Linked DNA regions of Elephas maximus indicus. The protein of the gene in region 3 interacts with the protein of the main gene of each other region in a pairwise test. Links are inferred from orthologs where the notes say so. Each region holds a gene or a part of one and is shown on either strand. Other genes may lie near its edges.

Evidence for each region.
Region 1: the proteins of SH3GLB1 (region 3) and ARFIP2 interact in binary tests that used the Homo sapiens proteins (3 or more experiments, as listed by UniProt). The link is inferred for Elephas maximus indicus from reciprocal best matches to the Homo sapiens genes SH3GLB1 and ARFIP2.
Region 2: the proteins of SH3GLB1 (region 3) and RIC8A interact in binary tests that used the Homo sapiens proteins (3 or more experiments, as listed by UniProt). The link is inferred for Elephas maximus indicus from reciprocal best matches to the Homo sapiens genes SH3GLB1 and RIC8A.

Annotation. Positions count from the first base shown.
Region 1 is NC_064825.1:60,136,031-60,139,775, forward strand, and holds the start of ARFIP2 (arfaptin-2), read right to left. Parts: upstream 2,548-3,745; 5' UTR 2,335-2,547; intron 1,643-2,334; 5' UTR 1,601-1,642; coding exon 1,502-1,600; intron 1,266-1,501; coding exon 1,169-1,265; intron 506-1,168; coding exon 387-505; intron 212-386; coding exon 1-211. Other genes in the region: TIMM10B (mitochondrial import inner membrane translocase subunit Tim10 B), read left to right, coding at 2,730-2,756, 2,951-3,046, 3,247-3,423. UniProt on the Homo sapiens protein: Plays a role in constitutive metalloproteinase (MMP) secretion from the trans Golgi network. May have important functions during vesicle biogenesis at certain cargo subdomains, which could be predominantly utilized by secreted MMPs, such as MMP7 and MMP2.
Region 2 is NC_064825.1:138,017,097-138,020,841, forward strand, and holds the start of RIC8A (synembryn-A), read right to left. Parts: upstream 2,438-3,745; 5' UTR 2,304-2,437; coding exon 2,220-2,303; intron 1,842-2,219; coding exon 1,794-1,841; intron 1,726-1,793; coding exon 1,135-1,725; intron 712-1,134; coding exon 620-711; intron 191-619; coding exon 40-190; intron 1-39.
Region 3 is NC_064821.1:136,340,871-136,344,615, forward strand, and holds the start of SH3GLB1 (endophilin-B1), read left to right. Parts: upstream 1-838; 5' UTR 839-1,187; coding exon 1,188-1,259; intron 1,260-3,745. UniProt on the Homo sapiens protein: May be required for normal outer mitochondrial membrane dynamics. Required for coatomer-mediated retrograde transport in certain cells. May recruit other proteins to membranes with high curvature. May promote membrane fusion.

The DNA.
Region 1 (3,745 bases), on a different chromosome or scaffold from region 3:
GGGACTTCTGGCTGAGGTCAGCAAAGGCATCACCCAGTGCATGCTGGGTCTGCAGCAGGCTGTAGAGGTGGGCTGTCAGTGCCCGGCCCAGCTGCAGGACACTCTCATACTTGCGCTTCGTCTCACGCAGCAACTCAATCTGCAGCTCTAGCTCCAGGTCCACAGTCCGGGAGCCTCGGCCAAATCGCTCTGATAACAGCTGCTTTGTACACTGATTGGGAAGTAGGGGAATAGGTCAGAGACCCTAGCACCCTCCCACAACAGGTACCTGCCCCAGCATCCCCAGGTTCCTGGTCTAAGCCATAGATGGGACATTGGGGTCTGGGGAGAAGGGAAAAGGGTACCCAAGGAAGTTTGGAAGATAGGAAAAGTTGTTTGAGTCCCACCTTGTATGTGTTGATGCCCCATTTCTTGACGATGTCAAACTTCTCTCCAGCGATGCCCCGAGCCACCTCATCTCCAGGGCCAGTGGGAGTGGCACTGTGAGATGGATGCCGGCCAGACCCTAAAGGACCAAGTTCTCTGACACCAGCCTCTCTCAGATACAACCAGACACCTCTGTGGCCCCATCCATACTTCCCTCCCAGCACATAAAAATGACATCTCTGAAGCAGCTGAATGCTTCAGACACAATGAGATCCTCCTGCTCACTAGGGGGAACTAGTACCTTGCACCCCAAGACCTAAATCCCAGCATACATCTCCATGAGTTCCTCTGGCCATCTTCTGATGGGGTCAATGATGATGGGATCTGGTAACAGGAAACCTGGTGACTTTCCCATGTGGAATCCCAGTCTGTGTAAGGTTCAGGGCTGTTTGTTCCTCTAAACTTTAGAGTCTGAAGTAAAACCCCGAGAAGTCTCACAAAGTTCCAAATAAGTCTTAAGCTCCAAACCAAGGGAACTCCTGTGAACTAGACATCTTAACCTGGCTCAGGTGGTGGCAGTCGAAAAAGGATAAAAAGGTGCATCTGAGGGGCTAAGTAGCAAGTGGTAGCAGAAGGCCAACGCTGGCAGCTGGTCTTCGGCTGAATACATTGGGGTTCATACTGGCAGGAGTTCCCAAGACCGCCAGACATAATTCAAGTGTCCCTAGGCATATCCTAAGCTCCCCAGAACCATTCCTGTCCCCACTGTGGACTCAAGCTTTTTGTCTCTGATTATTCATACCTGTTGGGATGAGTCCATCACCAGAGCCCCCATAGCCACCAGACACAATGCTGGTTTCATTAAGGTTGGGTCCTGACACCATCACCTGCTGGAGGTCCTATAGGCCAGAGAAGAGGGAGGCTTCAGGAACATAGGGGCAGCTGAATCATTTTGGGGGTGGGAACAAGGTTGGATTGAAGCATCACAGAGAGAGCAAGGGATATCTGCACAGAATCAGAATGAAGATTTATAAAAAGATTGACAGGAGTTAGATAAGGGAAAGGCTACTGGAATGGAATAAGAGCCCAGAGTTTGAGTTGGGATTTGATTAGGAGAAGAATCAAAGAAAAGCACCTGCTCCAGCCCATCATCCTCAGGAAGCTGCCCAGCTTCACCGTTCCCGTGAATAGGGATCTCCATTGTGGCTGCCTTCCCTAAGATCCCGTCCGTCATGGCTGGGGCAGGGACTGGAGTCAAAGTCTCCACCCCTGGGCCCTGCAAAGCCCAACACAGGTGGTTTTGGGAAGTTGCCAGCACTCCAGAAGGGGAAGACCTCTCTTGCCATTTCTGAGGTTTTAGAGGTTATCCCCAGCACTTAAGCATGTCCTGGGTTCAGCTACCACTCCTTTCCCTAGATATATGAATTTATCCTCTCCAAGGTGCACATTTTTATACATGCACACCTAGGTCTCAGGTGTCTTCTCATAACCTCCCAAGCCCACCAGGACTCAGGTAATCATTCATTCATTCAACAGATGCTAGATGAGTGCCTGCATTGTGTCAGGCACGATTTGAGGCCCTGGGAATACAGCAGTAAACAACAGAGATAAAGTCTGTGCCCTCTTGGAGCTTATTCCATTCAGGTGTGTCTTCCCCCCTCCTCCCACCAGGAGATGAACCCCTTCCCAGGGCTCTGGTGCCCACTCGCCATTCAGGTATGTGCTGCACTGCTTGTCCTTTACCACTCCTTTAGTGTTTCTTCCCCCTTCCTTCAAGTGGTCGCTCCTTCCTCCATCCCACGCACCTCTTTCTCCTTCTCAGGCCCTCCCTACCAGGCCTTAGTTGAATCAGTTGGTGTATGTTTCCCGCCTCTGGTAAAAGCCTCTTCCTTCCAGGACATAAGTGATCCCTTCCAAAGTCAGTTATGTCTTCCCAGGTGTGTGAGTCCCCGCCCCTCCCCCATTCACCTGGGCATCAGGTGTGCGCTCATCCTTCCCCAGTGCTCAGGAGCATCTTGCCCTCAGGTTTGTGCGTTCAACTCCCTCTCGCCCAAGTATGTCCCTCTCACCTCGGGCCGGGCCGTTCTTCCCCTCAGGGCGCCAGACCCGGGCGGCGCGGGGACCTCGGGCTCCAGTTCCCGTCGCGATCCTAGCCGCAGGTCAGGGACTCGGCGGAAGTGACGTCCCCTCCCGGGCAGAAGAAGCCGGCCACGTCGCAGATTATAAGGGCGGAAGTGACGTTGGCTGCCGAGGGCAGGGCGATCCTTGAGCCAACCCCTCAGTCCTTGGGGAACGGCCAGAGATTACTTCCGGGGTGTTTTCAAGCTGAAACGGAAGAGATGTAGGCGGGCGGCGGCGGCGTGATGGAGCCGCAGCAGCAGCTGAGAAACGTGAGTCGGGATTAAGTTGCTCCAGAGCCATACCTTCAGCTCCCATGCCTGTTAACGTCGCGGGTACCCCAAAGAGCCAGGGATCCGAGGGCTGAGAACTTCAGGCTGTGGTGCGCGACCCAGGGCAACCCCGGGAGGCTGGGCTGAATTGAGGGACACCTTATCGCTGAGTTCCTGGTCCCTTTTACCGGCAGTTGCGGGACTTCCTGTTGGTCTACAATCGGATGACAGAACTCTGCTTCCAGCGCTGCGTGCCCAGCCTGCACCACCGAGCTCTGGACGCTGAGGAGGTGGGGGCCTGAGTAGGGTTAGGGAGGTTATCCTCGATCCTCAAAGTTCACGGTAGTCAGCTTCCCAACCCCACCACTCATTTCCACTTCTGGCCTTGGCCTTTTCACGGCCTTCACCCCTAGGCTGGGGTTGGGGAAGGAAGGAGATGGGGCCTGACAGGACCCCTTTGGCCCCTACTTCCACCCTATCTTCTTTTTAGGAGGCCTGTTTGCACAGCTGTGCTGGGAAGCTGATCCATTCCAACCACCGTCTCATGGCCGCTTATGTGAAGCTCATGCCTGCCCTGGTACAGCGCCGCATCGCAGACTATGAGGCTGCCTCAGCCATGCCAGGTGTTGCTGCTGAACGGCCTGGAGCCTCGCCATCTGGCACCTAGCTGTTTCCCACCCCAGAAGGGGAGGGGCTGGACGGACCCTTGGGCTGAGTAGAGCTTGTACAGAGAACGTGAGGAGTAGCCTGAGAGATGGGTACCTTTGCTCCTTTTCCTGGAGCTAATAAACCTGCTTTTTCACTGTGTTTCATTGGGGGGTGGGGGGGAGGAGGGGAGGAACCCACTTTATTGGCACCATCATTTGTTTTGTCAGTTAGTGCATATCTATTAACTTCAGCTCTGGCTGCCAAGAAGTTGCCTTCTGTGTGGAGAAGGAAAACCTCAGTATCCCAGGCTCCTGGTTAAAGTAGGGTCTGTGGATACAGTT
Region 2 (3,745 bases), on a different chromosome or scaffold from region 3:
AGACCCCCAGGGGCCTGCACAGCAGTCCCTCCTGCCTACCTGGTCCAAACGCCGCTCCAGGAAGTCAAGGAGAGCATGAATCACGTCCATGTTCACTCCCATGAACTCCAGGGAGCCTGTGTGCAGCTCCGGAGTGAGGAGGACGTCAAGGCACTCAAGTGGCAAGTTTCCCAGGAGATTCACTGCATGGCTGCAGACAGATGGGGTTTAATTAGGACAACTGTCCGGCAAGTGCAGTCCTAGCTGCCACCCTTCTCAGACCACACGTGAGGCTGCTCATCAGCCCAGGTCCAGGCGTCAGCGCCTCCCCTGACTGATCCTGGTGGTGCCAGGAATACCCAGGTATTTCTGAATGGTGCTGCTGCCCACCTCACTCAGACAGGTGAAATCAGACTCTAGGGTGGGTCCCTTCTGCTCTCTTTGCCCCGCCTCCCGATCCACAGCCAAGACTGAGAACCCTGTCTGAGCATCCCCTTCCCAGCCAAGGCAGGCCCACATGCACACCACCCCCATCTACCTTGAAGCCCCACCCACAGCCCCACCCACCCACCTCAAGGCCCCGCCCACCTGTAACCCATACCCCACACCCCCACTTACCCACCTCAAGCCCCTCCCTCACCCGTGGAACTCCTCCGTGCGGTCGCCGGCAGCCGAGACCATCACACAGTGCCGCAGAAGGATCCCCAGATGCCGGTAACAGGCAGCATCATCCTAACCAGAAACATGTTCTTAGAGGAGAGAAGAACCCCACTCCCGTGCTGTTGCCAGCTAAGGCTCTTCCATCCACTGAGCCTACCAACAAGCCTAGTCCTGGGCCCTTGTCCTCTCCAATGTGACCTTTACTTTACTAACAGTGGGGCTAAATAGCCTCTACTCTTTTCCTAACAGCACTTTTCCAACTAAGAACGTCAACACAGTCCCTTGGGATGAAATCCTGTTTCCTCTCCTACCACATACTCTGGTTCCTGCTGGGCCTGGAGAACCAGAAACCACCTCCCCTCGCAGCCTCCCTCCAATGCCTTCCTTGAGGCCCCTCCTCAAAAGGGACCCTCCTCTTCTCCAAGAGGCAGGAACCCCAATCCTCTCTCATCTGATGCCCACAAAATCAAAGGCACCTGTGAGTTGAGCCCTCACCTCATCCACCTCCTGCTTGACCAAATCGAAGGTGATGTTGAAGAGAACTTTGAGGATCTCCATGGCCCGCTCTGTCTCCTGTGCAGGGAGGAACTCAGGGGGGCTCTCCTCTGGGGACGCCCCCAACGTCAGCTCCAGCGCATGGGTCAGCAGGCGCACCCCCTGCAGCTCCCGAAACAGTTGCTGGCGCACGTCAGTGCGCAGTGCCGTCAGCAAGAAGAGTAGCCGCAAGTCAAAGAACTGGACATCATGCGGGAAGCTCCGCTGCCCGGAGAGCCGCACACGCTCTGAGAGCCTTACTACCAGGCAGGCCTGGGCAGCCAACGCCTGTGCCGCGGGGCTGCTCAGCACGAGGTTGCAGAGGCACTTGAGGGCCTCAAGCACAATGTCCATGTCTGGAGACTCAGGGTCAGGTCCCTCGGACACGAAGATGCCAGCACAGCGAGCCAGGGCCTGCAGGCTCGGGCGGCTGGTGAACAGGTCCAGGCAGCCGCGGTCCCGGGACAGGATGCGAAGGCTCTGCAGCCAAGTGGCGCGTCGAGAGGGCGGCAGGCCCTGCTCCAGGGCCGACACCAGCAGGCCGGCCAGTCTCTGCAGAGAGAGGAGCAGCTCCACCAGGCCCGCCCCCGCCCAGCCCCCCACCCCCGGCCAGCACCCACCTTCCTGTCTTCCCGCTGCGCGTCCTCAAACGTGAAGCTCTCCGAGTTCTGCAGAGAGAGATCAAGGGATCACGACGTTCAGGTTCCCCAGCCGGGGCAGGACCGCGCCCGCAGGGGGGCGGCAGCATCGGCCTCGACTCTGAGCAGGCGGCTGGGCCCGGCGCCCCCACCCGCAGACGCCCCCCACCGCGCCCCCCCGCCCGCAGATGCCACCACCGCGCCCCCCCGCCCGCAGACGCCCCCCACCGCGCGCCCCCCCGCCCGCAGACGCCCCCCACCGCGCGCCCCCACCGCGCCCCCCCGCCCGCAGACGCCCCCCACCGCGCCCCCCCGCCCGCAGACGCCCCCACAGCCCGTCCCGCAGGCTCAGCCCCGCCGCGCGGCGCGCCCACCGTAGTGCCCGGCCCGTCAAAGGCTCGCGCTCACCTCCCGGTTGTACGTCCGCAGGGCCTCCATCATTGCGGCCTCCTCCCCCGCCTCCACGGCATTCGCAACCGCCCGGGGCTCCATGGCGTCGCTGGGACCGGCGCGGGGAGGCTCCAGTCGGCGAGCGGAAGGCCCTCGAGCCGCGGAGCCGACCCCGCCCTGCCTCCCGACCCAGCGTCACGCGCGCGGGGGAGGCCGGGACCGAAAGTGCGCGCGCCACGGGGAAGGCCTGGACGGGGCATGCGCGCGCCGCGGGAGGGGCCTGGACGGGGCATGCGCGGCGCCGCGGGAGGGGCCTGGACGGGGCATGCGCAGAGCCGCGGGAGGGGCCTGGACGGGGCATGCGCGGCGCCGCGGGAGGGGCCTGGACGGGGCATGCGCAGAGCCGCGGGAGGGGCCTGGACGGGGCATGCGCAGAGCCGCGGGAGGGGCCTGGACGGGGCATGCGCGGAGCCGCGGAGAGGTCCGGGTGGTGTTGGTGGCCTTGAAGTCGACTAGGCTACGAGACCCGGCTTGGTTATCGGCTGACCTCAGAGTCCGAGTCGCTCAGTGCAGAACCATGGCCCACCCCCCGACTGCTCCTTGGGCCAGAATTTCCAACAGGAGAGGGCCTCGTCCCCCCACCCGCGACACGCACACACTAACGCCCTTCTTGATCCACCGAACGAATGGGAGGGGGACAACCGAGGTGGAACTTTGTAGTCCTGGGGCCAATTGGTTTGATAAACAGGATTTTGTTGAGCTCCTATTTCATGCGAGGTGCTAGGGTCCCTGCCTTTCTGAAGTTCGTCTTCTAGAGAGGAAGACAGACCAGGAAAAACAAATGACTGGGCGGTCATAAGTGCCATGATTCAAAAAGCAGCCAAGAGTCCTGTGATCTCCAGTGCATGGTGGGCTGCAAAAGGCTCTGAAGAAGTGACCCTCTTGCTGAGACGAATGACAAGAACAGGGGCCAGGAAAAGGCCTGAGAGGGGTCGTTCAAGGCAGAAGGAATAGCTTGTCCAAGAGTGGGAATGACCGTGGTGGGATGGGGAAAGGAAGTTACCGTTGGAGCTGAGACGAGGGGGAGTGGGGAAGAGGTCAGGGATGAAGAGGGGAGCCTGACCGTGTGCGGCGATTTCCTCCATGTGTAACCCAGACCTGGTGCCCAGCCTGGACGCGGTTTTCTTTTTGTGTAAAACAGGAATAATAAAAGTGCCCGTCTCAATGGGTTATCATGAGGATTAAATGCATTTAAGTGCAAAGCACTCAACGTAGTGTTTCGCACACAGAAAATGGTCCGTAACGGTGGGTAACTTATAAATACGGCGCATCCACCCATCTATTCTTTCAATAAACATTGAGCATCTACTTCGTGCCAGGCCCTTTGTTAGGGACAAAGTTCAAAGTCCCCACCTATCACCAATACCCCTATTCCTTGCTTTATTTTTTCCACGATTCTTCACGCCTCTACTTTAACAAACACACAGAGCTTCCTCGGTGCAGGCACTGTCCTAAGCACTGTCAGCTCTGTAGATGCGAGCTGG
Region 3 (3,745 bases):
ACTTAGTGCAAACATAAACTGTATTGTGAAGATTGCTTAATTAAGAGGTTACTTGGAATTATAGATTCCTCAACTGCTTCACATCATATTCTCATCTGTTATTAAAATTCCCCGCGCTGATTCGTTAGCGTTACCCTATCTCACTCACCATTTTATATCTCTTTGTGTCCTCCACCGGGCACTTTGTGTCCCGGTACCGTACGTTGATGCGCCTAGTGTTGATCCTGCAGTCCCACGTGTGCAAGCTGCTTTAAAGCAGTCACAAAGCAAATAGTTACAAGGCTTCTGGTGGGAGCGGAGAAGACCCCGGAGGTTGTCAAGTAGCCAGACTGAGATCTCCTAGAGGGCAGGACACTGTCTCTCATTTAGCACAGTTTATCTCCAGCACCTGGCTCAGTGCGTGGCACACAGTACGTACTCAATTTTGCTAAATGAACGGTCAATAGGCTGGGAGGGAACTTTAAATACAACACTTCTGAAAACCTCCGCCGTACGCTATCCAGGCGTCAGGGGCAGACGGGCGCAGATGCTACAAGAAGACCAGAACCTCTTGGTTCTAATTTTGTACATAACGTAATTATATACAATAATTTCCGTGTTTGCTCTTAAAACAAAAAGAATTGGGGTTATCGCTGCTCTTAGTTCTCAGGAGCTGAACTGTAAACGTGCAGCAGTGCGGGGATCCCACAAAGAGCCCCTGGCAGCGAACGCGACACTCCCTCGGGTTGAGCCGGACCGAGCTCCCAGCGCGCCCCGCGGCTGGGTCGCCGCGATCCTGAAGGGGTCGCTGTTCCCGCGATAACCTCCCTAAAGGCTCCGCCCCGCGGCCGACGCTTGCGTCCTCCGTTGGGAACCTGGCTTAGCACGGCCAGAACGCCTGTCTGTCCTCCCGCTAGCCAGCCGCCGCTAACGCCGACGTTAGCGGCTGCCCTACCGACGCGACAGGCCCAGTGTCTGAGCCGCAGCCGCCGGCGCGCGCGGCCGGCTGTGAGGCGCTTGTTCTCTCCCCTCGCCCCACCCTTCTCCTCCCCCTTCGCGGAAACGACAGCTGCAGCGGCGGGGCTGGCGCCGCCTCCCTCCACCTACCACGTCTGCCCCCGCGGCTCTTGCCCGGCGCGCCAGCCCGGCTGCGGCGCCTCCGCCTCCCTGCTAGGTCAGCCGGCGGCTCCGCCCGGCTGCCGCCCAGGATGAACATCATGGATTTTAACGTGAAGAAACTGGCGGCTGACGCGGGCACCTTCCTCAGTCGTGCCGTCCAGGTACCGCGGTGGGGGGAAGGGATGACGACGCCCGAGGAGGGCCGGGGAGGGACCGCTTGAGCGCTGAGCCCAGGGCGGCGGCGGCGTCCTCACTCCGGCCTCGACCCCACCCCGTGGGTCTGCTGCGGCAGGAGGCCCGGGAGACGGGCGCGGCCTGGTGCCCCTCCGAGCCTGGCGGCCGTTTTCTGCCATCCTCCTGCCCGGCAGCCGCACCCCGGAAAGCAAAACGGAGTGGGAAGGGGGCCAGAGTTTCCTCCCCACCCTGGAGGACACTTTGAGTTTGTCCACGGGCCGAGGCGCTACTCCGCTGCCTTTCTGATCCCAGGACGCCGGTGCTCGTGTGACCTCCCTCCCCGGGTTGGCGGAGGCCTTGCGAGACCGGCGGGGTAACGTAGACCATTCTTGCACTGCCCCTGCCCTTTGCTTTGGGTTCTCTCACCCTCCCCACCGAGTCAAGAAGGGAGTTAATTTCCTTTTCCTGCCCTCAGAACCCAAAGAGCTGCCAATATAGTTCTCTCCAGCCCTGCCCCTCCTGAAAGGATTGTCCTTGGGCTTGGCACCCCGCGCAGGGAAATGGAAGTCGCCAATTGGCGGGCAAACTTTGCCAAGACCACAGGAAACTTGTGTTTGGGGGTTCCCATCCAGTCTCAGAATGAGAAGCACCGGCAGTAGAGCAGTGAGAGGTATGGGGAGATTCCTGCCACTCTGCCTGAAGTCACAGTGGTATGTTTTGAATACACTTTAAGAAAAAAGTTGACCTCACCATATTCCTCAATCAAGGAAGTGTAAGTACTGAGGAACTTGGACACTTTTCTACAGTCGTCACCCACATTATGCCAACTCAGTATAAAAACTATGAACAGATGTAAATTTTACCACAACATGGGTTATAAACAAGTCTGGTGTTTAAATTAATGACATAGTCGCCGTGGCAACAACATTCTCTTTTGTAAAGAGAAAACAAAAGTAATTGTTTAATATACATGCCAAATTGGTACCAAAATGTAAATCAGTTCCTTTACTACTTTCCTGTCTACTTTACCCCAATTTTAGTTGGTGCAGTTGATCCTACACACACTATTCTTGGCAAAAGAATAATAGAGCTAGAGTAGGGTAGCAATAGCAACCTGCATTGTGGGGAGGAAAGAAAAAAAACCTAGGTCAAACACTTTGCTAGTCATTTGACCTATTATCTCCAGTCCTTTTTTTAACTTTGCCAGGTAGTTGTTATTAACCCCATTTTATAAATGAGGAAACAGCCTAAGAGAGGCTAAGCAACTTACTTAACTTGCATGGCTGGTAAATATTCAGGTACTGTTTGACTTGGCCACTGCAAGCTGCTGCTTTTCCTGGATAAGCATTGCACGTTTGAGAACATACAGAATAATAGAGTGTTACAGACTAGAGGACCTTAGAGGTCACCTTGTAAAATCTGAGCATTTAAATATCAACAGAAAATAACCACATAAGCTATGGGAAATTCCTTTTAGGTCTTGATTTCCAAGTACCAGACTTAGCTTGGTGAGTAATGAGCTGGCTGCTTTAACCCATCTCCCTCACTAAGATATAAGGTGTCTTGTAAAGGAGTCCCGGGGTGGTGCAAACAGTTAACTTGGTCAGCTGTGCTAATCAAAAAGTTGGAGGTTCGAGTTTACCCAGAAAGGCCTGGGAAGAAAGACCTGGCGATCTACTTCCAAACAGTCAGCTGTTGAAAATCCTATGGAGCGGTTTCACTGCGACACATAAGGTCTCCATGAGTCTGAATCCATTCCACAGCAGCAGATTTGGCTTTTTTTAATAGTTGAAAGGATAAACTTTTGGTTTCCATATTTTTTTATGGTAAGGTACAAAAAGAATGAATCAGTCTGAAATGAATTTTGATTTGTGAGATACTTGTATTAAAAAACCAAAAGCAGACCTGTTACCATCAAGTTCATTCCAACTCATAGCGACCCTATAGGAAGGTAGAACTGCCCCATAGGGTTTCCAGGGAGCAGCTGGTAGATTCGAACTGCTGACCTTTTGGTTAGCAGCTGAGCTCTTAACTATTGCACAGACAGGGCTCCACTTCTATTAGACTTCCTTAGTATTTACTGCAATGGGTTAAAGCCTCTGGTAATTTTTTAGTGCTAATTCCCTAATATTCTGGATGCTGGGGGCAGATTTGGATTTATTATGTTTCTATATAATGTTACTCTTTAGAATACACTTTGATATGTTTTCAGGTAAATAACTTACACTGCTTAAATTGGAGACATTTGTCAGAATTTAGTCTGATTTAAATTGCTAATGGACTCAATTTAAAAGAATAAATCTAGAGAAGCTTTCAAAAGTTAAATGTTGATGTTAGGTGCCGTCTGTTCCATTTCAACTCATAGGGATCCCTTGTAATAGCCTGGAACTGTCCCATAGGGTTTTCTAGGTTGTAATCATTACGAGGAAACCCTGGTGGCGTGATGGTTAAGTGCTACGGCTGCTAACCAAAA